7 linked regions of the Nothobranchius furzeri genome follow. The protein of the gene in region 7 purifies or fractionates together with the protein of the main gene of each other region. This does not show direct contact. Links are inferred from orthologs where the notes say so. Each region holds a gene or a part of one and is shown on either strand. Other genes may lie near its edges. The genes, in order: dnajb6b, sqstm1, ilf2, supt16h, cop1, ssb and sox2.

Evidence for each region.
Region 1: the proteins of sox2 (region 7) and dnajb6b purify together in Homo sapiens (affinity purification with mass spectrometry; 3 studies listed by BioGRID and IntAct, with this or other methods). This does not show direct contact. The link is inferred for Nothobranchius furzeri from reciprocal best matches to the Homo sapiens genes SOX2 and DNAJB6.
Region 2: the proteins of sox2 (region 7) and sqstm1 purify together in Homo sapiens (affinity purification with western blotting; 3 studies listed by BioGRID, with this or other methods). This does not show direct contact. The link is inferred for Nothobranchius furzeri from reciprocal best matches to the Homo sapiens genes SOX2 and SQSTM1.
Region 3: the proteins of sox2 (region 7) and ilf2 purify together in Homo sapiens (affinity purification with mass spectrometry; 3 studies listed by BioGRID and IntAct, with this or other methods). This does not show direct contact. The link is inferred for Nothobranchius furzeri from reciprocal best matches to the Homo sapiens genes SOX2 and ILF2.
Region 4: the proteins of sox2 (region 7) and supt16h purify together in Homo sapiens (affinity purification with mass spectrometry; 3 studies listed by BioGRID and IntAct, with this or other methods). This does not show direct contact. The link is inferred for Nothobranchius furzeri from reciprocal best matches to the Homo sapiens genes SOX2 and SUPT16H.
Region 5: the proteins of sox2 (region 7) and cop1 purify together in Homo sapiens (affinity purification with western blotting; 3 studies listed by BioGRID). This does not show direct contact. The link is inferred for Nothobranchius furzeri from reciprocal best matches to the Homo sapiens genes SOX2 and COP1.
Region 6: the proteins of sox2 (region 7) and ssb purify together in Homo sapiens (affinity purification with mass spectrometry; 3 studies listed by BioGRID and IntAct, with this or other methods). This does not show direct contact. The link is inferred for Nothobranchius furzeri from reciprocal best matches to the Homo sapiens genes SOX2 and SSB.

Annotation. Positions count from the first base shown.
Region 1 is NC_091747.1:47,502,045-47,505,729, forward strand, and holds part of dnajb6b (dnaJ homolog subfamily B member 6b), read right to left. Parts: intron 796-3,685; coding exon 686-795; intron 1-685. UniProt on the Homo sapiens protein: Has a stimulatory effect on the ATPase activity of HSP70 in a dose-dependent and time-dependent manner and hence acts as a co-chaperone of HSP70. Plays an indispensable role in the organization of KRT8/KRT18 filaments.
Region 2 is NC_091741.1:64,353,258-64,357,547, reverse strand, and holds the start of sqstm1 (sequestosome-1), read right to left. Parts: upstream 2,815-4,290; 5' UTR 2,584-2,814; coding exon 2,421-2,583; intron 2,259-2,420; coding exon 2,163-2,258; intron 2,092-2,162; coding exon 1,817-2,091; intron 1,700-1,816; coding exon 1,546-1,699; intron 1,437-1,545; coding exon 1,368-1,436; intron 695-1,367; coding exon 540-694; intron 464-539; coding exon 265-463; intron 181-264; coding exon 20-180; 3' UTR 1-19. UniProt on the Homo sapiens protein: Molecular adapter required for selective macroautophagy (aggrephagy) by acting as a bridge between polyubiquitinated proteins and autophagosomes.
Region 3 is NC_091751.1:23,258,255-23,262,510, forward strand, and holds the start of ilf2 (interleukin enhancer-binding factor 2 homolog), read right to left. Parts: upstream 2,846-4,256; 5' UTR 2,693-2,845; coding exon 2,688-2,692; intron 2,375-2,687; coding exon 2,315-2,374; intron 1,688-2,314; coding exon 1,645-1,687; intron 1,518-1,644; coding exon 1,413-1,517; intron 1,325-1,412; coding exon 1,247-1,324; intron 1,007-1,246; coding exon 904-1,006; intron 511-903; coding exon 445-510; intron 210-444; coding exon 93-209; intron 1-92. UniProt on the Homo sapiens protein: Chromatin-interacting protein that forms a stable heterodimer with interleukin enhancer-binding factor 3/ILF3 and plays a role in several biological processes including transcription, innate immunity or cell growth.
Region 4 is NC_091742.1:80,398,635-80,402,319, forward strand, and holds part of supt16h (FACT complex subunit SPT16), read left to right. Parts: intron 1-11; coding exon 12-110; intron 111-424; coding exon 425-540; intron 541-611; coding exon 612-765; intron 766-847; coding exon 848-975; intron 976-3,685. UniProt on the Homo sapiens protein: Component of the FACT complex, a general chromatin factor that acts to reorganize nucleosomes. The FACT complex is involved in multiple processes that require DNA as a template such as mRNA elongation, DNA replication and DNA repair.
Region 5 is NC_091751.1:60,919,402-60,923,086, reverse strand, and holds part of cop1 (E3 ubiquitin-protein ligase COP1), read right to left. Parts: coding exon 3,556-3,685; intron 3,398-3,555; coding exon 3,289-3,397; intron 3,179-3,288; coding exon 3,097-3,178; intron 1,714-3,096; coding exon 1,597-1,713; intron 990-1,596; coding exon 872-989; intron 1-871. UniProt on the Homo sapiens protein: E3 ubiquitin-protein ligase that mediates ubiquitination and subsequent proteasomal degradation of target proteins.
Region 6 is NC_091754.1:20,313,049-20,317,176, reverse strand, and holds the start of ssb (lupus La protein), read right to left. Parts: upstream 2,914-4,128; 5' UTR 2,796-2,913; intron 1,755-2,795; 5' UTR 1,746-1,754; coding exon 1,686-1,745; intron 1-1,685. Other genes in the region: klhl23 (kelch-like protein 23), read right to left, coding at 3,844-4,128. UniProt on the Homo sapiens protein: Binds to the 3' poly(U) terminus of nascent RNA polymerase III transcripts, protecting them from exonuclease digestion and facilitating their folding and maturation.
Region 7 is NC_091748.1:72,770,757-72,775,084, forward strand, and holds sox2 (transcription factor Sox-2), read right to left. Parts: upstream 2,957-4,328; 5' UTR 2,469-2,956; coding exon 1,500-2,468; 3' UTR 577-1,499; downstream 1-576. UniProt on the Homo sapiens protein: Transcription factor that forms a trimeric complex with OCT4 on DNA and controls the expression of a number of genes involved in embryonic development such as YES1, FGF4, UTF1 and ZFP206. Binds to the proximal enhancer region of NANOG.

The sequences.
Region 1 (3,685 bases), on a different chromosome or scaffold from region 7:
CATTGCGCACTGGCAAGAACTAGTATGGCAGAGGTTCGTAAACACAGACATTTGTATGATTCAGCTCTCAAGGATCACCGTGATCAACATGTTGTTAATAATTCTTGGAGAGAAATAGCTCGCACTGTCGGAAAAGACGAGGACGCTGTTAAAAATGCTGGAATGCCATGTTGTAAACAGTAATTTCTACTTCTACTATGGTGTAGTGTTGGATGCATGCCGTAGAGCTTCATGCTGCCCCCTACAGTTTGGGAGAATATTGGCTCACCGCAGAGACGAGCCGCATGAACCATAAACGCTGCAAGTTGTGAAGAGCGTTCCATCCGCGAGCCGCATCACCAAGCGGAAAGTAAATGTGTCAAGCATAAACCAAGCCTTCGACCCACTCCCATATATTTTAGACCTGATTTTTATAGTTATGTTACGAAGCCGCCAATATTTTTCAACAGCTGGGCATCATTTCATTCATTTTCAACAACATTTTGATGAATATTTCCAGAAATAAATCGTTAAAAACTACACACCGTTAATAAATTAATCTTAGAAAAATTAACCCTTAAACTTTTCCTCAATAAAATCTATAAGGATAACCTCCATTTTCTTATTAGCACAAATTAGGAAACATGCAAACAGAATATCTGGAGTGCTGATGGGTTTAAAAATATACATGCAGGTAGAGTTTTACCATCTGAAAGGACTTCATAGGCCTCCGACAGCTCTTTGAACTTTTTCTCTGCTTCCTCCTTGCTGTCTGGGTTCTTATCTGGATGCCACTTCAGAGCTAATTTTCTGTAACTGAGGAACAAAAAAAAATGCTTTGAACACAAATAGAATTGAATAAGTTAAATACTATAAATATGTCCTAAAAGAATGTTTAGAGATGATGGGATGAAATGATGAACCTAAATTCTTTACTAGAGGTCAGAATGAAGTTAATACAAAACCAATCTCTAATCTTACATTGTTATAAATCTAAAGGTAAACTTTACTCATATTTAATACATTTGCAGTGGTCTCTAGTAGGCATTAATGCCTTGTAAGTCGTGCTCTGTGGAAAAACGCTCATATGCTCCTGTTTGAGGATGTACAAGTCAGCCAGAGAAGAAAAAGGCAGCAGTTTCCTGATATTTGGACATATCGTCTCTGATTGGTTGATAGCAGCACAACTCTGCCACTAACTGTTTGCATCGCAACACTGATGTTTTATGTCCACAAATAACACAAGCCTGAAGGAGTTCTGCTGTGAGGTGGAATTGCTAATGGTTAGCTTCTACTAGCCAAGATGCTTTCCTGTTGCAAGACAAGATGGGTGAGTCCATGAATGTTAAGTGACGGTGTGACGTAGATCTGTCAGGATTTTTAAATCCTAGAGTTTCATCGTCTGTTTTCTATCAGAACTAAAGCAGGAGATGGGTGTAGGAGACTTTTCATGTTCAGCCTGCATGATAAACTCAGTGACTGATTACAATCAGAAACAATCATTAACCTTTACCAACAAAACTGACTTTGATAAAGAATCTGTGAGTCAGAACTAATTATATTTATGAGCACCTCTGTTAAAAGGACATTTGCTGTTCTGTAACAAGCGGTGGTAAAACTTTGCCAAGATGACAAACAGCAGCAATCTGAGGAAACGACTGTCTAGGCTGTTATCAGCAGATCTACGGCACCATAACCGAAAAAGAAACCAATCAAGGAGAGCCAAAGTCCACACCTCAACCTGACGGGAATGATGAGTGGGAAAGGTTTCCCAACTGTGACGTCTTCATTTTTATGCCAGGTAACTGTGGTTCTGATTAAACAGTTTCTATACTTATTCTTTTTTTATTATGTGAGAGGATTTGCGTTTTTAATCACGTGGATTCAAGTGTAACAGACAACCTCTTGTCAGAAACAGATCCACGCGCAGGTCTTTTATTAGAGTAGCAGCCATGACAACACTAAGCACACACAGACACAAATCTGCACAGACAGTCCTCTCCACCCAAGCAGATTTAACAAAGACAGCCTGAACTGCACCGGTGAGCAGCGTGGGCCTTGCACAGCGGCTTACGCTGCATCAGCTGTTTGTGTCAGAGCCCAGCAGCAGCAGCAGGAGCTGCAGACAAGAGACTAAAACTCAGCCAGCAAAAAGAAAAAAGCTTCGGATAGTCCTGGGATCTGCTCCCTATAGTCTACTCAACAGCTCTGCTGTAATCTGTGATATTATCTTGCTGTGCAAAGCCCGTTTTACAGGTCAAATAGCCAAACAAGTTGAACAATGACAGCTGGTGATGATGGTTGTGTAACACACCAGTTTTTGGGTCTCATCAGAGAAGTCCTTGTTCAGCCTGAATATCGTCAAGGATAGCATAACAACCTGACATCTGGGCTGTAACTCAATACCCATTAAATTTAATAAACTAATAAAACAAACACGTTTTCAGGAATCTCAGCTATTTTAAACAACGCTGAACCGATTACAGATGCTGGTTCTGATCGATCTTTTATTCTTGTACAGTTCTGATCTCCAAACAACAATTTAGCTCAAAGAACTTTAATTATGTGACGTAAGAAAATACTGATACACTGAAATACATATTTAAAAGTAGAGCATTAATATTTCATTGAGAATTTACATATGAACATTTATTAGAATTTGTTTTGTGTGGTGCAGTTCAAACTCCAACAGGTAGGTGGCAGAACATTTTACCGCCTTCATTCTGACGGAACAATCAGATCTCACGATAACACTGATGAGTCTTGGAAGCGCCTAACCTGAGTTTTCCAATTAGATTCAATCTTAATTGAAAGTATCTAGACTTTAGTATTGCGATATATTTTATCATTTCCCCTATAATGTGATAAATACTGCATCACCAGATTCTTGCCAACGCACACCCTGACAGAAAACGTTTTTAAAACTCTGATTAACTTGAAAGGTTTGATCCAGGAGAGCAAAAACATTCCACATGTTATTACAAGTAATGGTGAGTTCATGTGTTAGAAAAAGTTTACCTTTTATTGCCGTTTGGCAGTGATGCACTCAGAGAAGAACTATAAATAAATCAGACCTTTGAGTTTCAGATTGGCTCATCACCAATAAATTATTATATAGAGCTATTCTGAGTCTTCATTTATATTCCTTTTGCTGTAAGAGCTCTGTGACACTAACCCCAACGGCACACTGTAGGCATCAGCGGCGTGGAATGGCAGCGGAACAGTTTACTCGCGACTATCGCTGCACTCCAGTGTACATCGCAAGAGTCTCAGCCGTGAGCTTCTCCGCTGTGCTCCTTGCTCGACTCGCAAGAACACAAAATTCCTCGAGTTTATGCCGTCCGTCATTAAACCAAAAAGAAGGAAATCACGTTTGATATTGTTATTTGCGGTCATGTTTGATATTGTTGTTCTTCCGGCTCTTGTAGAGTTCAGACGCTTTTTTTCAACCTCTCCTCCCCATCTCATCCCAAGGCTCTTTGTCTGTCTTTGGGTGTAAGGCGCTTCTGCAGTTTTTCTGAAAACTGGAAATTATTGAACATGGATCTGGTCAGTTGGTCTCTCAAAGCGATTGCAAAATTTTTTCAACGATGAGAACGGGAGAAGGGGCTCCCGGTTGCCCCTCTGGGACAGAGCCAGCTGGGCATATCATGGACTCCTGGAAACAGTGGAACCTGATCTGCCTCTCTCAACTGTCTGTAGAGGA
Region 2 (4,290 bases), on a different chromosome or scaffold from region 7:
AGAAAGTAGTCAAATGATGTCACTGGCGTGGGTGGGACTGCTTGGCGTACTGGATGGCATCGAGTGCAGCTCCAATCTCGAAGTTTTTAGCCTGAAGGAGCCGAGTCAACCAGCCGCCTTCATCTGTAAAACCCATCGAGAGCATTGACGCCAGCGACTCCACCAGGCGGGGGTCAGCCTCTGTGGGGGACAAAGGGGAGGGGCTTAATAGGGACAGGACTACCAAAAAAAAAAAAAAACTTGAACCGCAGAATCTGAACTCACCTTGAGGCAGGTGTGGATAAAGAGCTGCCTCCCGCAGACCTGTGGGTCCCTCCTCGGTCCCTGACAGAGGAGCTGGACCTGGACCTGGACTTGGACTTGGGCCTGAGCCCTGGCCCTCCAGCGACTGAAGCTCACCTGTAGATGGATCAACCTCTTTAGAGCTGAGATGAGTCCACTCATCATCTTCATCTCGGCCCACCTGCAGATTTGTGTATTTGGTCAGTAATTGTCATTAATTAGACTGATCTATTAGTTTTTGTCTGAGGAAGACTGACCTTTGGCCCCTGCTTTGCTCCACCTTCATTGCTGGCTCCACTTTCGCCAGCTCCCACATCCATCTGCACTTCACCCTGCTCTTCCTCACCTTGAGTAGGTGAAGTCACCTTCATCCTTTGCCCCTCATGCTCCACGTCGATGTCCACATCAATACCTGCACATGCACAGATAAAGTCCCTACTTCATCAGGATTCTGTTGTCAGGAAGTTTAATAGAAACGGTTAAATGTGATATTCTGATCTTTCTGAAGGGATGGTCAATAGGTCATATATCTACAGTACAGACACTGCCTGCAGGTGACATCACCGAAGGTGAAACAAAGTGCTCCTCTGAACAGAGGCTAACTAGTCAGCTTGGTAATGAAATAATACATCGTTTCTGGTGTTTAAAAACAACCCATAGTGACGCGTTAGCACGCTATATTAGCAGTTTTTAAAGCCCTACAATTTTACATGAGATTGTTTCTTTAGTTTATGCTGTTTGTTTTATTCTAATAACGTTTGAAATACTATGCTACTGCTACTGCCTGTGTGCCATTGGGTTTTCACTCTGCCCAAGTGGAGCAGCCAATTAGGAAAAGCAGGACATTGAGGTTTTTCTTCTGGCTAATCCTGGAAATTAGCTTCTAATGTCACAGATCCAGCTAGCCAAAAGTAATGCTCTGGTCAGAGGACTTCCTATTCCTAGAAACAGTAGTTTGGAATCTAAATTGACAGAACAGCACTTTAAAATGACTTTAAATGTCTGAATGACACTCGTGTGCGTATTAGGATGAGTTCCCTCTTGTTTATTGCACATTAAAAACATCTCCAGGTAAAACAACTCACCTAGTGGGCTCAGCATGGCAGCCACGCCCTCGCCAATGTTCTTCAAATAGTTCACGCTGACCTGAGAAGCTACAGAGGTCAGAGGTCAGTCTCTGTTATTGGACAATGGCTCTGAGTTGGACTCCTTTTGACTGATGACCAGTTTGTACATAAACACAGATCTGTTCACATCACCTACCAGAGGAGGTGCTGCAGTCAGATGCTGAGCTGGAGGGAATGGTTTGCTCCTGCTTCTGGTTCTGGTCCTGGTTTTGGGTCTGTGCCTGGGCCATGTGCTGGTTCCACGTGCAGTGTTTCATCTTTTTCATCCATTTTCCTCGAGGAAACCACTGCTAAATAAAATTTTAAGAAAACCACCGATTTATCACATTTTAATCAGGAAATGTGACTTGTTCTGACACCTGCCAGTGGTGACCTGAGCTCTGACACCTGTCATCCAGGTTACTCACCTGTAGAGGGTGCCACACGGGCAGCAGAGGGTGCTCAGTGTGGGTCCCTCGAGCCTGGCAGGTGGAGCAAAGGTCGTAGTCTGGACACACTGAACACTTGAAGCGCGTTCCGACCACAGGGCCCTCACAGCCGTCACAGGTGACGTTGGGATGGACGGCAGGGGGCGGGCCCGGGTGAGGAGGTGGGGCATGAGGAGGTCCATGTTGATGAGGGAGCCCGAAAGCGAAAGGGGGGAATGCATGAAGAGGGAAGTCCCGGCGGTGCTCCTTCTTTTCTGCAAGAGTTCAACAAAACTTTAGTCAGATGGAACCTTACAAAGAAATAACAGGAAGACGACTTGTTTACCTTTAATGAAGAGGCGAAAGGTGGCGTCCTTGACAAAACCCAGTCCCATCATCAGCTCATCATCAGAGGAGAAGGCCACCAGGTCTCCATCTTCATCTAAAACACCATAACTCAAACATCAAGTCCAAGCACAGATCAGGTGGCACCAAACATCATTCATCAGAATATTAAAAACAATCCAGAACCAGAAAGACACGCAGCAGAAATCCAGTCAGTGTTTGGGTTGAAACAGAACCAGCTCTGATATAAGCGCCTCACCCTTGTAGAATAGGTTGAAGTTGCTCAGGTTGGAGAAAGCTGCCGCCACCTTCCTGCTCAGGTACTCGAAGCTGCAAGAGACGTCCTGGTCCACCGCAAACCTGCGGATCTCCTTCACCTGCTCGTCCTTTCCCAGCAAGTAGGCTTTCACCGTCACCGACATTACGAACTCAATCGAACCAAACTCCGAACAGAGACAGAAAAACAACCAAACGGAGAACCAAACTCTAGAACTTTGTGACGCAGCGGTAAATTTCAGCCTCTTTTATGTTTACTTCCGCATTCTATGTCATCGTCTTAAGATGACGTAAAGACGCACACAGCCTCCCATTGGTCCTCATTGAGCTCCGCTAATGAGGGACCATTGCCGTCTAGAAACATCTTTTTACACAGCACGGTGAGGGACTTTCCAACTAGTCACGTGAGCAGGTGTTAGTTGGGAAAGCCGCTTAGTCATTGTGACGTGGCACATTGTTTTATTTGTTAGAAAAGTGATTGATTTGTAGTTTATTAATAAAAAAATATGAAAATCCTAAATGAGTGGATCCAGCTGAGAACGCAACTGCAGGTCTAGAAATCCAGCAGAGAAACATAAACATGCATGTTTGTGTGTGTTTTAACTGAGCTTTGGTTTCAACCCCGACATGCTTTTTCTGTTAATTATCTGCTGAAGATAACCCCAGTCCGTAATTACTACAACAGAGTCAAGAACCCATACACACTTTTACAGAATTAATCTACAGCTAAAACGAAAGCAATCTGCAAATCCTGCTCTAATCAGTCCAGATTCAAGCTGATTTTCTGCTGTCCAGTTGTAAACAATTAGATGGGATATGAAATGTAAAACATAAGTCAAACTCTCAGTATTCCTCAAACACCTGAGTCATCCTTGCATCACTCTTTTCAAATGTCTCATGAGCTTCTGTTTTGATCAAATGTTTGTTTGCATCTGTGATGTCACCCAGCCGCTGCAGCCAATCAGCAGCAGCATGAGTCATATGACTTGCTGACTCAGAATCACAAGATGAAGCTGAAAACCACCCAAACCTCTCATTTAAAGCCTTTAAAGGTCAATGTAGTGAAAGTCACTGCATTTGAAACTGTTATTCAGTTTTGTCAGCTTGACTAAAAACAATTTATAGAATCAAAGATTTTTAATGGAAGAATTAGCTAAATATTTTCTGACTACATTGTATAAAGAGCTCTGATTACATAATCAGGTTTCAACAACCTTAAGGTAAAATTAATTTAACATTTAATTTCAATTATTTAATTGTAATCATTTGTTTTTATTGCTTTGGTCCAATGATAAACATGCATGCTTGGATTTCTTTTTGTTCTTAAAACAAAGTTAAACAATCCCAGAATGCATCAGTGCTCTCAGCATCCTGGAGCTAGAGTGAGGTTCTTCCAGTGAGACTGATTAATAGCCAAATGAATCCACTTTTAAACCAGGTAACTGAATGAATTACAGACATTGAGACAAATATTTATTTAAACCAGTTAACACCTTGCACCAGAATCAGGTCCATAAGGTTTTACATCTCCAATCAGTCAAAGTTGCTTCTATAATAGAAACCAGCTGATTGGATCAATCCAAAGCAATTCTCTATCCTGGGCAGCACCAGGCTATTGATTGATCGATCCTTTATTTTGGTTGTCATGTTTACAGAGAAGATCTTCAAACAACTAAGATACATCACGATAACGTCATGAATTACAACCAAAAAAGGAATAGGCAGAAGCAATGCTTATTTTGGCCTATTCTCCACCTACAGCAGGTATGTATGTGCTGAATAAAAGAGAGAAAAAAACATTAATATTTTACACATCCTTTTCATATTCTTTAAGTATTTCATACCCAACATAT
Region 3 (4,256 bases), on a different chromosome or scaffold from region 7:
AAACGGAGAAGTCCTTAAAAAACGAGTGTCTGTGTGTGTGCATGTGTGTGTGTGTGTGTATGCATGTGTGGGTGTGTGTGTGTGTATCATACGGTGCAGCTCTGGATCCAGCTTGCGTAGGTTGGGCGGGACAGTGGTGATGAGGATCTTAACGGTTGCATCAGCTGAGCTGATCTCAAAGCCCGTCTCATTGGTCAGCATGGAGAGAACTGAAAGCGCGGGTGCACACACACACACACACACACACACACACACACACACACACACACACACACACACACACACACACACACACACACACACCATTAGTGTTTATTACATCATTAACTCACTAAAGATGCTCACTCTGTTTCTTGAGGGCACTCTGACCAACTTCAGCCTTTAGGTAAGGTCCAGAGCTGCAGATACACCCCCCCACACACACACACAGACCCACCCCCGTACCTTCTGCGGGGTCCTGGGTGCGAAGAGTCTCCACCACCTTGTTCCCGAGCGCAGCCACTGCCTCCACTGTTAGATTAAACATGAAGAGCAGAGTCAGCTTTAGCTCCAGGTGTTTAACACTGGACTCAGTATTAATCACCACTCTACCGACGGTATTCGGGGTTTAAATGACACCAAGTTGCCTCATAAACACATTTAGGATTCAGACACTTCTGTTCTCGAGTTCCTGTACGGTCTGACGAGTTTCGTCATCACTGTTAAGCTTAAAGAGGCTAAAGCTAAACAGCTTAGCTGCTGGATAGCCGGTCCGGTCGGGCTGCATGATGGGACTAGCCATGTATTTACCAACACGAGTCCAGATGTGCTCAGTGGTTTCACCAGAACATCTGTTGAAGCTGTTCCAGCAGGATGAGGCCCTAGTGACGGACCCAGGGCTGGTCTGAATGAACAATGACTCACGTGTAGGGAGGATCTTGAGGATGACAACGAGGTCAGCGACGTTGTGTCCAGTTGTCATGGTTCCCTTCTTGTATGAACCCACCTGACGAACTTCTTCTATTTGCTGTGGACAGATAACGTAAGCATGCGGGATGGCTTTGATGCGTTCTAAAAGATAAAACCGCTCAGCTACATAAAGCTCAGCCTGTGGGAGGTCTAGGAAGGTCATGACGGAAGAGAAACATTTAATCCCAGATTAGGACGTGACAGCAAACACAGATCATTACAGCCTTACTGACACCAACTCATTTACACCAGTTTCAGTAAACATGGCAGCTCTACAGGTCAGATGTTCACCACTCACCACTTCAAAGCTACCAGGGGCAACAATCAGGTTGTCGATGACATTATTGATCTTTGTGACCAAAGACAAGATGGAAGACTAGAAGCAGAAGGAAATGAAGACGTCAGGTAAGTAACCTACAGCACGATGAGACCAGTGAGGTGTTGAACTGGAATACCTAGCTGACCTGTTCTGCAGGTGAGGGGCTCAGGTCCTGGTTCCTCTTCAGCAGACACTCGCTAAACGCCGTCTCATCAGGAGCAGGTTTCACTCTGGGGAAGGCCATCTCACACTGGGGAAGGACAACAGTCTGCTTCAGAACCACAAAATGGACCGGATTCTACCAGATGCTAGTTGTAGCCATGGTTACTGATTATTCCTGCATGCTGTTCTGTTGTCTGTCACATGCGTGAACTCACCACATAGAAGTCAAATGGGATGTGCGGGACAAAAGGACGGTACCTGAGCGGGACAGAGAGAAGAACGGAGAATCGGTGGACTGGCACAAATGTCCCTACTAGTCAGAACCAGAACGTCTGACCGGGACCTTATGAAAGCTGATGTTCAAACCCAAAAAGTAGATTTTAACAATGATTTGGAGGTTTCAGTTATAACCAAGGCAGCGGTTCTTTTTGCTTCAGCACAATAACCAACAATCCGTCTTAGCTTCATCACCAGGACCACGCACAACATGAGCTGATGATTCCAGACTTTACAGCAGCTTTTTAAGGATCCAGAAATCAATGGATTGTTTCATTTGGGAAAAAATGAAGTTTAAAGAGACAGAAACAGGACGCTGCTTTCAGACAGGATGGAAAGATCTAACTGCTCTGAAGAAGTCCTTCTGGAGATGTTCTGGGGAGAGTGCCGTCGTCCTGTGTAATCACAAGAGGCTTCTTTTTCCACTTCTGAAGATCTTTCTCACTTAGACTTTTCTACTCTGATGGCTTATGGGTCCGAGTTCCATCCAGAAGCAGGAATCGAACCAGCAAACTTAAGACTAACTGTCAGATACTTTCTACAACCAGATCAAGGACCTGACTGAAAGAACCAGTATGGAACAGGAACAGAGATCAGTAAGGTACTCACCCCTGGACCATGCCTCCCCGGGCTCCGAAGCGGAGTCCTCGGCCCCTGCCGCGGTCTCCTCTGTTCACAAACACAAAACCCAGATCAGTCCAGTGCGCTCGCTACTGCCAGACTAAAGGATAAATAAAAACGCTGATCTTAGCTAACACACGTGTGTTATAGTCCTAATTCGCTACCTCAGTGTTAACTTGCTGTCGATAAAACGTAAGAGTTATCAGTAACACTGTTATTGGAGGAATAAATAAGTAACACCACGTTCAGAACGAGACTTTAACAGAAAGCTATACCGAGCTAATGGCTAACAGCTAATGACACTGATTACAGGCTAGTTAGCGTAAAGCCAACACAACCAGGTCCGGTTAGTCAGCGTTACCTCATTGCGTACGACGTTTTGATGGTTTGATGAGAGAAAACAGGGAGAACGGTTTGATATGGTTTAATGAATGAGCGGAGGCTAACTGCGGAAGGGACTAGTGTGGCACAAAGAGACTTCTGTTTCCGGCGGAATTGTTTCTTTCTTTCTGTTTTACGTCACCAACGCCGTGGTACATTACCGCCCCCAACTGGAATGGAGTGTGGACCGCATAGATATCACATATTATAGCTAGATGCGCTGTTTTTTTTATTTATTGGTATATTTTTTTGCTGCTGCCATAGCGTAACTTTATTCATTCACGTCTTTCTGGTCAAGTCTCTTTTTTAACTTTATTTCAATCTTCGTTTTCACATACATTCAGTTTACAATGTAACCTACATTCAACGTACTGAAGAATATAACAAATACAAATGACCGCACTTGAGGAAAATAAAAATGACATTTAGAACTTGCAACATTTACCGCATGGCACTACCATAAAATAAATTATGATGCAAAATAATAATAATTAAAACAAAAAATAAAATAACATCAACAACAAACAAAAAACGTTCAGAGGTTGATATTTCAGCATTATAGTTCAAACATGTTTGATTCATTGGACTGTAATTTAAAGAACAAGAAACTCAGACATTGTTTCGCACAACTCAGTTATAGATTGGTTATTTTCTGAAAATACTCTTTGAGATGTTGTAAATTGTTTTATTTAATTTTTAAAATGATTAATGTTAGGCTTGCTGTTTTTCCATTTAGTCTTATGTATTTGGTAATGTTCACCATTTTGGATATCTTTTTTGGAAGAGCATCCATGTATATCAGTACTTTAGATTACATCATTTCTCTCAATATTTACCAATCGATAAACATCCTCCTCAAAACCAAGTGTTACTGAACACGAGAAGAAAAAGGTGCTCAATAGTTTCACATTCTGTCATACAAAAGATGCACTGATTCTCACCTGCGCTGTTCGTCAATGGACCCTGACGTCCGTACGCGGCAGCCATCTTACTTCGGACAGCTGCTCTCCTCTAGCACTGTTGTTTAGTGGTGCATGAGGGGGAATTCAAGATGGCAGAGTGAGCAGGTGCTGGAAACTTGGCAGGTCTGATAAAACGGTGGGTTTTAAATGTTCTGAGAAGTAATTCTCTGATAAACAGTTATTCAGAACGAAATTGAAAGGAAATCGGTACCTGTGGAACATGTTTTTGAAGAGTTATTGGACAGATAAAGTAGCAAACACAAAAAATCAAATGACTAACATGGCGGCGCTAATAGGTAGTCTTTCCGACCATGACTACAACCTTGCGGCAATGAAGGAAGCATGTGCGGACGAAGACATTGAGGAGATGGAGCATCAACAGATAGCAGCAAGACCCACTGGTGATCACACTCCAATAAAAAGCCCCAATCAAAAAAAAAAACCTGAAAAATAAAGCTACTGGCAAACAGATATGCAATGAAAACATCTATGAAGCCCTGCTGGCCTTTCCAGAAAGATTTGATCTGCTAGACAAAAATCTGAAAGCTTTTGACCTTAGGATAGAGGCAAATGGCAACTGAAGAAAA
Region 4 (3,685 bases), on a different chromosome or scaffold from region 7:
TTGGCTTGCAGAAAGAAGACGAGGAGGATGAAGAGGAAGACGAGAACGACGCCGAGGAGCTGCTGGGGAAGGGAGCCCGTGGCGCCGCCCTGCTGGCAGACAGAACCAGAGTGAGTGTTGCTGTCCGTGTGGTCATGTGACCATCTTAGGATCTTCTCTGACTAAGCCTGTGAATGTCTTTGTACTCTATCAGCTACTTGGGAAGGTGAGTCCGTGTTTTCCTAAAATAAGCTGACTCAGAAAAGGAAAAGATGAGATGAGAAAAAGTTCATCTGAATTTGAGTTTCTGTCTCATTTTGGTTGTTTTTATTTCATTTTCTCATCTGAATCTGGCCGTGAGGTTTTCTGCATGTGTGTTGTGCCCATCATCCCAAACGCCGCCCTCACGCGTTTCTGTTAAAACGCTGTTTTTAAACAAACTCAGAACGAGATGACGGCGGAGGAGAAGAGGCGGGCTCACCAGAAGGAGTTGGCCAATAACCTGAACGAGGAGGCCAAGCGACGTCTGACGGAGCAGAAAGGGGAGCAGCACACCCAGAAGTGAGAGCGGAGCCTCGCCCTGCGCTGCTTAGCGCTCGGATATCTAGTTACGCCTCTGCTCGTTCTTCCAGGGCCAGAAAATCCAACGTGTCTTACAAGAACGTCTCTCAGATGCCCAGAGAGAAAGAAATCAGGGAAATGAAGATTTACATCGACAAGAAGTACGAGACGGTCGTCATGCCTGTTTTTGGGATCGCAACGCCGTTCCACATCGCCACCATCAAGGTCTGATCAGGGTTTGCACCTAAAGCTAACCGATTAGTGTTTGTTTAATATAAACGCATCATTGTCGTTGTGTTTCACGTAGAACATCAGTATGTCTGTAGAAGGAGACTACACCTACCTGAGGATCAACTTCTTCGTCCCCGGCAGCTCTCTGGGACGACAGGAAGGAAACATCTTCCCCAACCCGGACGCTACCTTTGTCAAAGAAATGTGAGACTTGTTTCACTCCTGTCTGTCGAGCTGAGTGGTGTGTCCTAAACCCTTTTCAGATGGACGTTCTGGAATATGTGCGGACAATTGAGTCCGGTTTTTAACCAGAACTGTGTTTTCAGACACACCGCTTTTGTACCCGAACTTGTCCTTTCGGCTGCCTTCACACAGCAGGGAAACGTTCCAGATGTCGGGGGGGGGGGGGGGCTGTACCCGGATATTGCGTAAACATGGTGCGGCGGGCGTACATGCATCATTTACCCAAACAAAGCCATTCAGTCAAACATGGCCGACGAAGAGATAGAATTCCTCTCACTGATCGGACTTATGTTAAGCATAACTCTGCGCACACACATAAGAGACCTGGATGATGAAGCTCAATGGTTAAAGGAATCACTGAAGCGGTGTGAAGCGCTCCGTCGCGCGTCTAGATGGTACCGTAGGAGGCGAGCTGCCGTGGTTCGCCGCATGCTACAGGAGCGGGCTATCTAGGTGCACACAGCGTCCCCCGGTCCCCTCCTCCTCCTCCTCCTCCTCCCTGTCCGGAGCTCGACCTCACCAGTCTGAAGCAGTCACCCTGTCCGTGACGAGTCTGGACCTGTTACTAGGGGTGTCTGGCGGTTTAATTACAGAAAACATTATCAGGTGTTTGTATTTGGACACAAAGGTCTTACGGACAGAGTCCGGAACATTTCCGTTTTTCATGGCCTGTCTGAAGGGGGCTCTAGATTCTAGTACGCACCTTAAGGTTAGAGATGCATAAAAACCAGTTACCGTGGGCGATCTATTTCCTCTGGTGGCGTTTGGACTGACACGCCACAGACTGAAGTGGTTCCTAATCGGTCTGTGGAGGCTGACCAGAGTTCTTCATGTGAGATTTAGTTCATTTCCAAACTTTATTGGCCTTTCAATGTCACTCGCCAGTATTCTGCACCACAACTGGTTGAAGCCACACTGGTGTTGCGTTAACAGGATATTTTCACTATTTGACCCCCTTGTTTTTTCTTTTAAACAGTGACAGAATAATCTGAAGGCTGCCTGTCATTTTGACAGATTGCAATTACCCCCCCCACACACACACACACACACTCATGCAGGCGTGCAGTTATTTTAAACGTTACAGAAAACGTCGCAGAGGTAACAAAATCAATCTGGATGTTCCCATCAGAGCATCTGAGCGCTAGCTTCCAGTTGGACACCATTCGTAACGCATCTCGCTGTTGATGGCGTGCTGATGAGCTGTGGGTAGGATGTCTGAGCATGGATTCATCCTCCAGAACATTTAAACATCCATGATTCTGAGGCTGAGGTCCAGAACCTCATGGCTACAGCCTCTTCAGCAAGCTGCTTGGAGACCAGTTCAGGCTTACGCAGAGCAGAAGGAAGGAGTCGGAAGGAGTTCAGACCACAGCGGGAGGCGCGTCCCTAAATCCTGTAAAGTTAATATGTTGCTGGGGCTCTCTGGTCAACGTGGACTAAATATTAATTAGACATGAATCAAAACTAAGTTTTTATTATTTTATAAATAAAAGTGACGGGGGAAAATCGATCATGACCATCTAATCTGCCAATAGCAGATGATTTTTCCCCAGTGGAGAGGCTAACCTTTATTCCAGAGGATCAGGTAAGATGTTCAAAGGTCTGAAGCATGAATGAGGACGCCAGTGAAGGCTCTGATGAGGACTTTGTAAGATCCAGATGCATCTGAAGGAAACGTTAAAGGGTTTCAGCCGTAAATGGTGTTGGATTGTAGACAGAGAACTTGTGGACTATTTTATCAGAGGACATTAATCGAACACTTGTTGACATAAAGCCTTTTTTTTTTTGTTTCAGAGGGGTCGGCTCTGTCTGACATGTTTAGTTATTTCACATTTTTGAGCAGGTTGAGTGGCCTTTACTGTGTCTACAGTTGTCCTTTTAGTCATGAGAATCCAGATTTTTAAACACGTATAATGTGCATAAGTGCAAAACGCCTCTTGATTTTTATCTTGAGAAGCGCTATATAAAATATGTTTCTTCTACAGAGTGTTGTAAAAGACACTGATTTTGCCTGGAAGTAGCGAAATTTCCCATAAAAGAAATCGTTTTTAATAAAAGCATCGCTGAAGGGCTGGACTCGTCATCGATGGTCATTAAGTTAGTCCAATCACCCAACCTTAACACGAGTCGTAGATCAAGACTAGACCTCCATTCCTCACTAGGATTAAATCTTATGGCAGTTTTCACACAAACCAACAGCTGAAATAGTTCAAACACACTCTGTTTATTCATATAGCACCAAATCACAGCAAGAATCGTCTCAAGGCGCTTCGCAAATTCAACATTCTAATTCAGTTCAGTTCATTAACTCATTTATTACCAATGACGACAAAAGTCTTCTTTTTAAGTCCAACTGTTCGCCGTCGTTGACAACTATACTATATGCATTATTTTACTGTGTGGGCGTCGGAACGAGCCCCCGCACCGTGAGAACAAACATCCCAGCTCTAAAGCTGGTCTTCATCATCCGCGTACGTCACACGTCACGTGATCAGGAAGCAGAAAATCCATGCGTTAGGAGATCGTTTTGGGCCGCTGCTGTAAAAAAAGTGAGGAGCGAACTGAAAAAACTGGAACTGGTAAAGCGTCTGCCATGAAAGGACAGATAATGCTAAAAACAGGTGGATTCTTCCTGATGTAAAAAAAAAAAAAGAACTCTATCATCATCATC
Region 5 (3,685 bases), on a different chromosome or scaffold from region 7:
GATACAACGTTCAAAGAACGGTTCGGAGCAAAAAGGGCTAGTTTGTTCCATGTTGTCGTTCTTTTTTAAAACACAGAAACGGTTTTGTTACGTTATTGACGTTACAGTTTTGCCGACGGCTGCCGGCTTCTTCAGGCTTCAAAATCAACCGGCTTCTTCAGGCTGACGCTGATGGACGCTGTCAGCGCCAGCCTGAAGAAGCCGGCAGCCGTCGGCGAAACTGTAGCGTCAATAACATGTAACAAAACCGTTTCTGTGTTTTAAAATAGAACGACGACATGGAATTAGAAATAACGCACAGCAAGAACACACCTAAGATGTTCAAAGGGCTAGTTTGTTGCTAATTTGCAGGAATTATCTAGAAGAAAGTTGCTAAGGGTCCTCAGAAATGTAGCTAGCTTTGTCACGAGGCGTTAGGAACAGCGACAAAGTCGCTGAGTTGGCACTACCTCTCTCTCTGCTGCTAAAGCTACTGATAGCATCAGTGTCTGGTTTGATGGTGTCACTTTTGTGAAGCGTATTTGCAGTCCTGGACTTATTTTCACACAAAACCTAAAATAAAATGTACCCCCGTTCAAAAATAAGCACGTAATTGGTATAAAAAAACGCGTCTTTAAAATTCACGGACACCATATGTGAAATCCATGGAACATAGCAAGCGGGATGAGAAAATAGGTTTTTAGCCCCGCTGACTTGCATCTTCATCGTCGTTCTTCTGGGGACCCATGGTCTGGAAGCAGATGGGCGTGACTTAGGTTCCTTATTAATGAACATTTGACTGCATTAAAATTACAGTTAATAATTTCTGATATTCACCGTTTTCAAAATAAATCCCAGTAAAAACGGCTGAAAGTAAACCTAAGTGACTTACGCAGAAACAATCTCCTCTCCGTTTACAAACTTGGCGTAGGACACGGCCTTCCTGTGGCCTTTGAACACCATGATTGGCTGCTTAGTGTTGCGAAGATCGTAGTAGTGGACGCAGTGATCTAGAAGCAGGACGAGTTAAAAATAAACAATCTGGGGCTTTTATTCTTGTAACACAGTAAAGTTATGATGCAATGTCTTTGCTGCTTTGTGCTGAAGTTAGCGTTTCCAATAAGAAATGTTCCTTCTTTCCAAACTGTTTTCAAACTGAAGTTTTTCTTCCTTGAGCGACCACTCCAGGGTCAGGAGGCGGCTTTCTGCCAGTGGACCTCAGACACACACGCTGAAGTGTCAACGAGCCTGGACAACTCTCAGCAACAGAGTTCTGCTCCGCTTGTTTTAAGCTGTTATCCAGTGTTAGTGATGGGAAATACTTTCCTTTGCATACCTGAATATTTATTACAATTCTTATTCTCCTGTGGGGTACTAATGAACAGAGTTTTCAGAAGTTTGTCTGGACCACCAGAGTCAGCATAACCACAGATGAAATTTAGTATCTTCAAGGGGAAATAACAGTGGTGGGAGGTGAGTACCACAATAATAATACATCAAAATGAGAGAGAAACAAGTTTAAAGTTTGCCAACATTACACAAACACATTATTCAAGAAGGAAAACTTTTGTTAGAATCAGTTTGGAGTGTTTGAACAAAACCAGTCCTCCGTCTTACCCGCACAGCCGAAGGCCAGATGATATCTGGAAGTTGGGCTGAATTTAACACAGCAGACGTTAGCTTTAGCCTCGATGCTAGCCACTGAGTTGTTCAGGTTGGTTGACCACAGTTTAACTAAAGAAAAAAAAACAGGTAAACAATATAAACACTTTAGATAAAAAAGCAGCGGAGCCCCATGCTAAATTTATACATTGTTGATGTTTTTTAAGTTTTTCTGAGGGATGCTGTGAACCGATCACACGATTTAAACAGGGTTGGAATCAGGTGGAAAAGATCAGATTTACCCGTATAAAACAAAAAACACGACTCTTTAAATTCACTCCGAGATAGAAATTTCTTAACTGGCTGGTGAAAAAGTCTGTCGTTTGGTGGTATTTTAAACCAGACAGCTGGAAAAGCAAATCACCTGCCTCCATTAAGTCTGATTAACGCCGAGGACACACCGGCCGCCGAAGCGCCGCGAAAAGGGGACCGCCTTCATTCGGCGCCCTTGTTATCCTATTCTGTAGACCACATGGGCTGCCGAAGCGCCGGCGCTCCAGCCCACGCCGTGCAGCGATCGTTTTGGCGCCTGCTCTATTTTTTTTGCGAGCCGCGGGTGAACCGCGTCAATTTTGGCAGGAAGTCAAACCTAGACATGAGGCAGGCCGGTAAATTTAACAAAATAAAGCATTTCAAAATACAATTCCGTGATCGTCAACTGTGTTCGTAAACAGACACTGCATAAAAACCACACAAACACACACACACAGCGAACTTGTGTGTGTGTGACCACGTGAAGGGGGTGTGGTTTTGGGTGTCTTTCAACCGGAGCAAACAGGACAGAGAGGCAGAAAGACGTAGGCCAGCTATTAACAACCGGTTCACACCATAGGTTCTCACACACACACGTACAAACACACATACAAACAGCAGGGGGGAGGGGGGTGTAGAGGAAAAGTGCAGAGAAAAGGCAGAGAGGAAATGGAGGACACCAAGTGGTTAAAAGAAAAACTACGAGGCGCGCCTCGACCGGAGTGGAGAAACAAGCGTCTGGTCTGAACCGAGGCCAAATTTTGTGAGCGCTTCGCCTCCTGGCGCTTCGGCGGCTGGTGTGTCCCCGGCCTTACACTTCTCTGTCTGTGCTGAGTCACGCAACGCCATTATGCGTCGCTGCAAGGGCTCTTCAACAGGCTCACAGAGGGTGTTGGACACATGCCCAAATTTTTATATATCCGTCAAAAGTGACGGAGACCACAAGCTTGTGATTGGCCAGGATGCCACTTCCTTTAAATTTGTCAACGGCCCCGCCACTGCCCCCTCAAAAAGTATAAAATATATACTTAGCTGCAGACACAGAACAGATCAAAGAACGCATCGCGGAAAAAGTCCGAAAATATGAGCGTTTATTGACTCGTGACTGAAGGGGTACAATAACAGTACATGTGCAAATCTCCTTTTCATTTAGAACTCTGGTGGTCGAGAACCCCAGATAAATCATATGAAATCCTCTTTTACCTTTAGCATCATCAGAACCCGAGGCTAGGAGCTTGGGGTCCATCAGGTTGAAGTCAACACTCCAACATCTTTTCTCATGCTCCTAAAAATATGGAAGTCAAACTTCAGAAAACCGTCACAGCAAAAATATTCATAGTTATAATAAGCAGAAAAAAACCCAACATCATGTAAAAAGCTGTGCATGAGTCACACCTGGTACACTTTGGACCGCTGCCCACTGAATCCATCCCACAGAATGACGGTCCCTTCATAGTCGCTGCTGGCCAGAAGGTTCTTGTGATAACTGCTCCAGCTGATACAGCTGCAATGGAAGATGAAGTATCATTTTGATATGGAAACTCAGCAGATCCTCAATTTGAGATAATAAAATGTCATTTGATGAATCACTGCCTAAAGTGTAGGGTACTGATCTGATTAAAAGCTAAAACTCAGTTCCTCTTGAATTCGTTTATTTTTTACCTGATTTTGGAATTGCACGTCATTTCATTGACAGGGTAGTGGATGTCTACAGCATCCTGGATCACCGTTCCATACTCAAACACCTTGATCTTCTTGGTCACGCCAGCGATGGCGAAGTAGTCACAGTCAC
Region 6 (4,128 bases), on a different chromosome or scaffold from region 7:
GTTAGGGCTGGACGATTCATTCATGCATGTGACGTCATGATGCACGGACTGATTTGCAAACACAGAAGTCGTCTAAACACTGATTTTTATTTTTCTGGCTTTGAGAAAATGAAATGAAATGGATTGCTGCTGCATTTTGACACACTCTGAGGAGGGAGCACAGCCAGAAGTCACATGATCCATTTATCCCCATTGCTTTTGTTTATTTTAAATAATAATAATTATTCAGTACCATTACATTTCCATTCATTTTAATTAATATTTAGTTCAAACAAGCTGAACAAAGTGTCCCAGTAACATAAACAATGCAATTTAACAATTCCACTTAAATTAGGAACAATTCATCTGCTGCAGCCTGAACGCACTCTTCCTCTGCTCTGCGTAAACCTGAGCTGGTCACCTGCAGCTTGTGCGTACTCAAATGTCTCTACGGAATTCGCTGGAGAGGTTATGAGGTTCTGGGCTTTTGCCTCAGACTTATGGATGTTTAAACGTTGTTCTGGATGAATCTGCACTCCACTAACACACTCGAAGCAGGGGCAGAATAACGAGTGCCACTCGCCCAAAGTTTTAAAATCGGGAAAAATGTCTCCAAATGAAATAACCAGAAGTCTTCCAGACTCTCTGAGAAAGATAGAAGGGTTTCTACTTGACATTGCTCTCTTGTTCACATTGTCAAGTGTGTCGCAGACGCTCTCCGAGCTCCTCTTCCGCGTCAGCAGTTAAAGAGGCGGAGAAAGAGAGAGATGATGCTCAGATGCGCTGATGGACATCTCGTCATGATTGTTACCTCCGCGGTGTTCTCTGTGTGTAACGTGTAAAATATCTGTCATTAACAAACGTCATCATGGGCAAATAAATAAATGAACATATCGCCTCTTGTAAAAAAAAAAAAAACAATCGTAACGACTCAGCCCGTCGCTGACGGTCAATTAATTCGTCCCGTCGCCCAACCCTAATCGGGTGTGTTCCCACCTGATGCTAAGCGGTGCGTTTTGGAAGTGTCCAAGAAGCGTAGTATCACATCGCTCCACTAACTTTACATTGAGTTTTTTTTTCTCATGCACTACACTTCCAGGACGCACCAAGCCCAGCAGTTCAGATTGTAACGGACAGGAAGTCAAATGTAAACTTAAACATCCGTCAACTTTCAAAATAGAACATGTGCAGATTTGCAGTTGCTTAACTAGTAAGTAAGTAAGAAAGTAAGTAAATAAATAAGTAAATAAATAAATGCATATTACATATAAAGTCTCCATAGCTGAGGTACAACACAAAGAAAATAAACGAGGCCCTTTAGTACACATGCTGCTGTCTCTCTGCTTGTCACATGAACTGCCGAAATCATGCTTGATCTTGCAATTCTGTGGCAATTTTGTGACCTTGCAAGACGGGCAGCTTGGAACGCATAAAATAAAAAATCTGAAACACTTCCAGTGGTCAGAGACAAGCTGCTGAGCTCGCGAGGAAAACGTGTCTATTACATTATGTGCTGCTTACACATCTGGTGGAAAGCAGCAAATGGCAGAGTGACGCGAAAATACACTTCTGTCCAACATGTCCAAAAGCTTCACAGCCAGCTGAAACACACCCACTGACTGTAATGGCAAACTACGCTTCACAGATGTTAAGTGAAGATTACAGATCCAGCAGAGAGCCGATGACAGAAGTTTGATAGCAATTACCTCCAGTTGGCGTGCCACTTTCATCTCAATGGGGGTCATTTGATCTTGGTTTTCTGCCATGATTGTTTTCTGTAGGAAATGAAATTGCAAATAATTAGCAAACTCTAAAAATAAATTTCTTACATGTGGGCATGTGTCCCAGTTTTCAGAGGTACCATGGTACGAACGCTGATCATTAAATTTATTAATTTGAAATACTGGGAGACAAATTTAGATGAATTGCAATTTGACCTATTTAAAAAATCCATGTTTTATTTATAACCACTCATTGTTTTCATCACATAAACTGGTATGGTTTGTATAATCATATATCTGGCATGCAAGCCTCTCAATTGTTTCATTAGACATTTAAATGTTTAAAAACTAAATGGTGTAGACTGTTGCCTCTGCGATACATTAACCCCTTAAGGCCTAGGTCTATTTTGAAGACTATTCTTCGAAAAATGGTAAAAATGGTATTTAATGGTAAAAATAGTTTAGATAGCCATGTAGTGCTGGGTTTGCTGATTAATTTGATGGCAATTATTACTATTTCTTCTGTAGTGCGAGGGGTTTTTGGCCCTGTTAAGGAACTAACATCATGGGGTCCCCTAGGGCTTAATACATGTTTATATAAACTATTCCTGATTCAGAAACAGTGAATAAAAGCCACTGCCTACCTATTTCTACAATGAATCTAACGGAATTTACAAATTACCATAAATGTACAGATAATATTCGTTTTAAGAAAACTCCTGGAAGCTAATATAAATCTAATTTATTAATTTGTGTCACGCAGCTGTCTCACATCTAGTTACATTTCAGTTACCATGCGTCAGCTAAACCTGCTAGCTTGTCTCAGGAGTTGCAAACCGGCTACGGTTTATATATTAATTTAGAAGCAGAACCACCCAGAATCATGACCCGTATTGTAATAAACAAACAAAACGTGTTTTGTCACCGTAATGCACATTTTGGGGACACACATTGGGTCTGTAATGTTAACGTCGTCATGTGGTTGCGTTCAAACAGTAGCGTGCTGCTCAAACGTACTGTTAATCTACAACAACGTATTCCAAGTTAAATGAAAAACGCCATAAAACATTGTACTAACTCAAATGTTTTACTTACGTTATCACAGTTGTGATCAAACTGCACTTTCGGAACTTGAAACCGCAAAAGCTTGCCTTTCGTGCTGGCACGTTGTAGGACTGCGTGCTACGGAAACCATCGAGGGCCAAAAAGTGTCGAGGAGGTCGCAGTTTTACGGCAGTTCGATTCGTGCGTCGCAATCTGTGTCGTGCAGCTTGTGCCCAGCAGCTGTCGCTGCAATGCAACATTCCAACACAAATGTAGATTTTCTTCACTTTTTATTTTATTTTATTTTATTTTATTTTATTTTATTCAAAAATTTAAACTTATGTTCGTTTTCAAGCAAGAAAATAAATCTTCACTTGATCACAGAGATTTATGTTTTCTATTAAGATGTTTTTGTCTCACAAATTGTTTTGTAGAAACAACCAGCTTTTTATATTACTCCCCTCTAAAATATTCTTGTAGTTCAAAACAAAAGCTGCAATGATTACTATTTTTACACTCACAAACCATCTTGTGCATCTTCTTGTAAAGCAGCTGTAAATGCTTTGTTGCTGGAAGTTCATTCACATAAACTTATTTTTACAAACTTATTAGAAAAATTTAAGATCCCAAATACTCACATATCAATACATTTGAAGAGTTATAGAAATACAAGTGACTTTAAAAGTATTTTTTGGAAAGCAAACATCCCATTATCAGTGTTGTGATTTATTTTATGTGTTACTGACCAGTGACTTTTCAAATAAAAATGCTTTTAAAAGATTTATGAAACAGTTGTGCTTTATTTCATACTTCTCAAGAGATACCTGAGGATTAAGTGAAACACTGGATAACCATGTTGTTACAAAAAACTTCCACAATGAAAACTTGACATGGTTTGTGCATAAACCTTTGCAAAGTAGTGAATACTGTGAAATTATATATATATATACATACATATATATACAATATATACATATATATATATATATATATATATATATATATATATATATATATATATATATATATATATATATATATATATATATATATATATATATATATATATATATATATATATAAACACCTGTGATAAATGTCACTGGACCCCACGAACACAGACACATCCATGTGATCTGACCGGGCTGGGAAGAGTCCCCACAATCTCCCATGAGTCTAGCTCTGGGTCATATTTCTCAATGCTCTGCAGATAGGTCCCTTTTGAGTAGGAGTAACCCCCTGTTACATAAATACAGCCATTTATCACTGCAGCCCCACACTCCATCCTCCTCTCTTTCATCACTGAAATGGGTCTCCATTCGTCTCTTTCTGTGTCGTAGCAATCCGCAACGGTCGTCTGTCCACCAACCAAATACAGCTTGTT
Region 7 (4,328 bases):
AAATTAAAACTAAATCTCCTTAGAGACATTAAAACGCGACTTCCTGTCTGGAAGCCGCTTGGAAAACTGGGATTTATAGGAGCAAAACACAAACAAGCAGTGAAACAACACGGAAATACTGGGAAAATTATTTAAAAATGAAAATCCTGCTCAGTTGTGTCACTAAATAAAAATAGTGCCCCAGTCCAAAAAAGGCCCCCCACATACCAATTATTAGCATTTTTAAACGTATTAAGATGAAATGTTTGCCTCAACGTTTTCCTCTTTTTATATCAAAGAAGAGAAATGACAGTCTGTACCTGGGAATGTTGGGAATTTTTGCTGGAAAAACCTCTCCAGGCAACAAACTTTGTCTTTGAGGACCAGCGGGAACTGGAAGAAAGAAACGTGGTTAACCTCGACGCACAGGCTGGGAATAAAGGAGGAGCGTCCCCCCAGAAAGCTGCTGTTGTTCTCAAAAGGCAGAAATCACCCGAAAGATGCCAAATAAAAAGACGGGATGAAAAAAAAACACTCAACACACGAATTATTCAACGTGACAGAAACTGAATCAAAACTCAAACTATTTCAAGTATCCAAATTTCCAAAATTTATTCATTTCAAACCGCATATTGAAAAAAAATATACTCAGCTGAAACTGTAACTGTTATAAGGATGGTATTAGTCTGGGGGTATTTACATGGAGTGCGTGGCTTCTGCGTACAGGCCACGAGTTTCAAAATACAACTACGGGAATGAGCTTTGAAATAAAAACTTCAAATGTCACAGTAAATATACAGAAATTGTACAAATCAATAAAAAAAATAAAGAGCACAAGCGTCATGTCCGCTAAATGATGAAAAGTGGGAGACGGAAATATAAATTAACTAGCTAAAAATTTAAGTTGCATGACAGAAAAAATTGTCTCACGTTTGTTTCTCAAAGAAATAAAAGAAAAGTTTAGTAACGTTGACCTTAAATGGAGAAAAAACTGAAAAGAATAACAGTTTTACCTGCTTCTTATGTCCCTTTTCATTCCAGTGTTTGCAGTAATTCTAACTGATAAAAATTCCAATTCTGCAGTTTTTATTCATTCATCTTTTCTGCAGAACTGGCGCCGCTTTATATAAAAAACGAAAAGAAAGATGCAACCTCTTGCAGTTTAGCAATTCCCTCTGATTGTAATGTTTCTTTGATAAATACTGTACAAAAGGTGATTGCAATAATAAAACATCTGATTGCGACTCCCACTTTCTAGATTTCCAAACTCCATCCACCATTTTAGAGGGGGGGGGGGGGTCTCCTATCGTTCCTCTAGAGCATCTTCAGAATAAAATAAAAAATAAAATTAATTTTAAAAGAAACAGTGGAGTCCTTTTTTCCTGGAAACTTCTATACAACTTTTCCCACCCCAAATTTTTCTGTACAAAAATAGTCCAGCGTCTATAGTCCGCAGTTTCTCTTATAAAAGTTCTTTTGCTCTGTCTCACTCTCTCTCTCTCTGTCTGTCTGTCTCTCTCTCACATGTGTGTTAACGGCAGCGTGCCGTTGATCGTCGTCCCGGGCACGGCGCTCTGGTAGTGGCCGGACATGTGTAGCCTGGTCTGGGCGCTCTGGTCACTGACCTCGGCCCCGGGCAGGTACATGCTGATCATGTCCCTCAGGTCCCCGCTTTGGCAGCCAGGAGCGGCCCGGTGGGACGAGGAGGTGACAACGGGCGGACTGGAGCTGCTGGACTCGGACTTGACCACCGAGGAGGGCCCCATGGAGCCCAGGGTGGTCATCCCCGGCGTGGTTTGCTGGGAGTAGGACATGGAGTAGGTGGGGGAGCCGTTCATGTAGGTCTGGGAGCTGGTCATGGAGTTGTACTGCAGGGCGCTCATGTCGTAGCGGTGCATGGACTGCATCTGGCTCGGGTTGTGCGCGTTCAGACCCGGGTGCTGGTAGCTCAGCTGGTCCTGCATCATGCCGTAGCCACCGTTGGTCCAGCCGTTCATGTGCGCTGCGTAACTGTCCATGCGCTGGTTCACTCCACCGCCCAGTCCGGCCCCCACCCCGACACCGACTCCAGTGCCCATCCCGTTTCCTCCAGGAGCCAGCAGCCCGCCGGGCAAGGTGTACTTGTCCTTCTTCATGAGGGTCTTGGTTTTCCGCCGGGGCCGGTATTTGTAATCCGGATGCTCCTTCATGTGCAGGGCCCTCAGCCTCTTGGCTTCATCGATGAAAGGTCTTTTCTCGCTCTCCGACAGGAGCTTCCACTCTGCTCCCAGCCGCTTGCTGATTTCGGAGTTGTGCATTTTGGGGTTTTCTTGCGCCATCTTCCTCCTCTGGCCCCGGGACCACACCATGAACGCGTTCATGGGTCTCTTGACCCGCTCCGGACTGTTTTTCTGGTTGGTGCCGTTCCCCGTGGTGTTGGTGTTTCCCGTGCCCCCCGTGTTGGTCTGGGGAGCTGGGGGCTTCAGTTCAGTCTCCATCATGTTATACATCAGGAACAGCTTTGAGTCGGTGCTTCCAAGCCGACGAATGGAGGACGAAAAAAAAAGAGGAAGAAAGAAAAAGAAACAGAAACTCCAGGAGCCGGAGGCAGCGAGGAGCGCAGCGGCTGAAAGTTACCTGTCGGGTTGCTCTGCAACTTTTCTCTGGACAAAAACAAGCATCAAGCCGCGTCTCCACACACTCTCCCTTCTCTCTTCCGTCCCCCGAGTGTGCGTGTGTGTGTGTGTGTGAGAGAGTGTGTGTGGACAGAGAGCCTTCTCCCAATAGGTCCCTGCTATGTCGTGTCCACAAAACTTCTCTCGCTTCCTCCAAAAAGCATCAACAAACTGTACTTTTGCGCCTCTGCCCGCCTGAGCCTTGACAACTCCTGATAGTTTTTGAACAAGTTAATAGACAACCATGTCATGGCTGTCATCGAATAAATGGCTTCGACCTGGCCAATCAGAGCAGGCCTTCCCCACTGACACACCAATGGGAGGCCCTAATTAGCATAAAGAGGCGGGGCCTGTCTGCTCCGGAGCTTACGGGCATACTCTCACTCTCAGGCTGCCCTATGAGCCAAACACAGAGTACACATGTACTATGAGCATTATTGTTTCTCATTGCTGTCCGTATAGAAGCTCATTTGCGAGTGTTTTTATTTATGAAGAGTAAAACTGTGACGCCGAACTTGATAGGACGTTTATAAATAAATAAAAAGTTTTTTTTCTTGAACAGGTAGCACGTGCAAATGATGAAAGAATTCCTCAAAATTAATAAAACGACCCAAAAAAAATGACAATTATCTTATATTCAGCTGTGGCTGAGTTAGAAAGTTTTAATCCAGACATAATAATCTAATGTTTAGGTGGTGAAATGAAGGCAAATAGGCGGAAATATCTTTTAATAAGAAATACAATAATCAACTGGTGACGTTATTCAAACCGGAAACTGTTTTTTTTTCTGACTGAAGGCATGACCTTGTGTCAGTGTTAGAGAATAATCAAAAAAGTTACTAACACCCCCCCCCCTCCACACACACACACACACACACACACACAATCGGGCCCAACAGCACAACAAGACTTAAGTAAACGTTGTTAGTTAACTCAAAAGCCCTGTGTGTGTGTGTGTGGGGGGGGGGGGGGGGGGCTGGTTTTGGGTGTTGAAAGGAGGAAAGGTAATCCAAGATGTCTGCCTCCCCACCTAAAGCTTTTGTTTTGGGAAGTTGAATGCCAACACACACAAGGCAGACGGGCTCATCTCATCAGCACAAATAAGCGCGTTTTGTTTGGGATGTTGTCGCTACATCTGTCCGGACAAAGCCCCAACTCCACTCCACTGATGCTGCTGCTGCTGCTGGGGGCTTGCAGGCGGCTTAGACCCGTTGTCTAAAAGGGAGGGCTAATAAAAGGACATGAGTGTTTCTAGATTCATGTGAAAACACAACCAAGCGCGTGAGGGAGTCAGAAAAGCAGCGGCCTCTACCTGCTTCAGTTCTGATCAAACTCAGATTAATGCGACATGAGATTCTCCACAAAGGCAACACACTCTCAGAAAGCTCAACAGTCCAACACGAGCAAACTTCTGGAGTCTGCAGCGCTTGGTGCCACTTGTTTCTATTCTGACTGTCCACCTCGCGGCTTTGGCGCAGTGCTGCGTGACACCAGTGCCGCCTACTGGACTAACGCAGAACTACACGCAAACTCTGAAAAAAGTTTTCTCAGACAACAAAATCACCGCTGTTAGAAGTTAAAGTAGATAAAAAAAACTAAACCAAAATACAAAAATATTTATTTCACATCATTTTTATTCCAAACACCAAACATACGTCCGGATCTGCGAGTGCAGCAGACCAGTAAAGACAGACC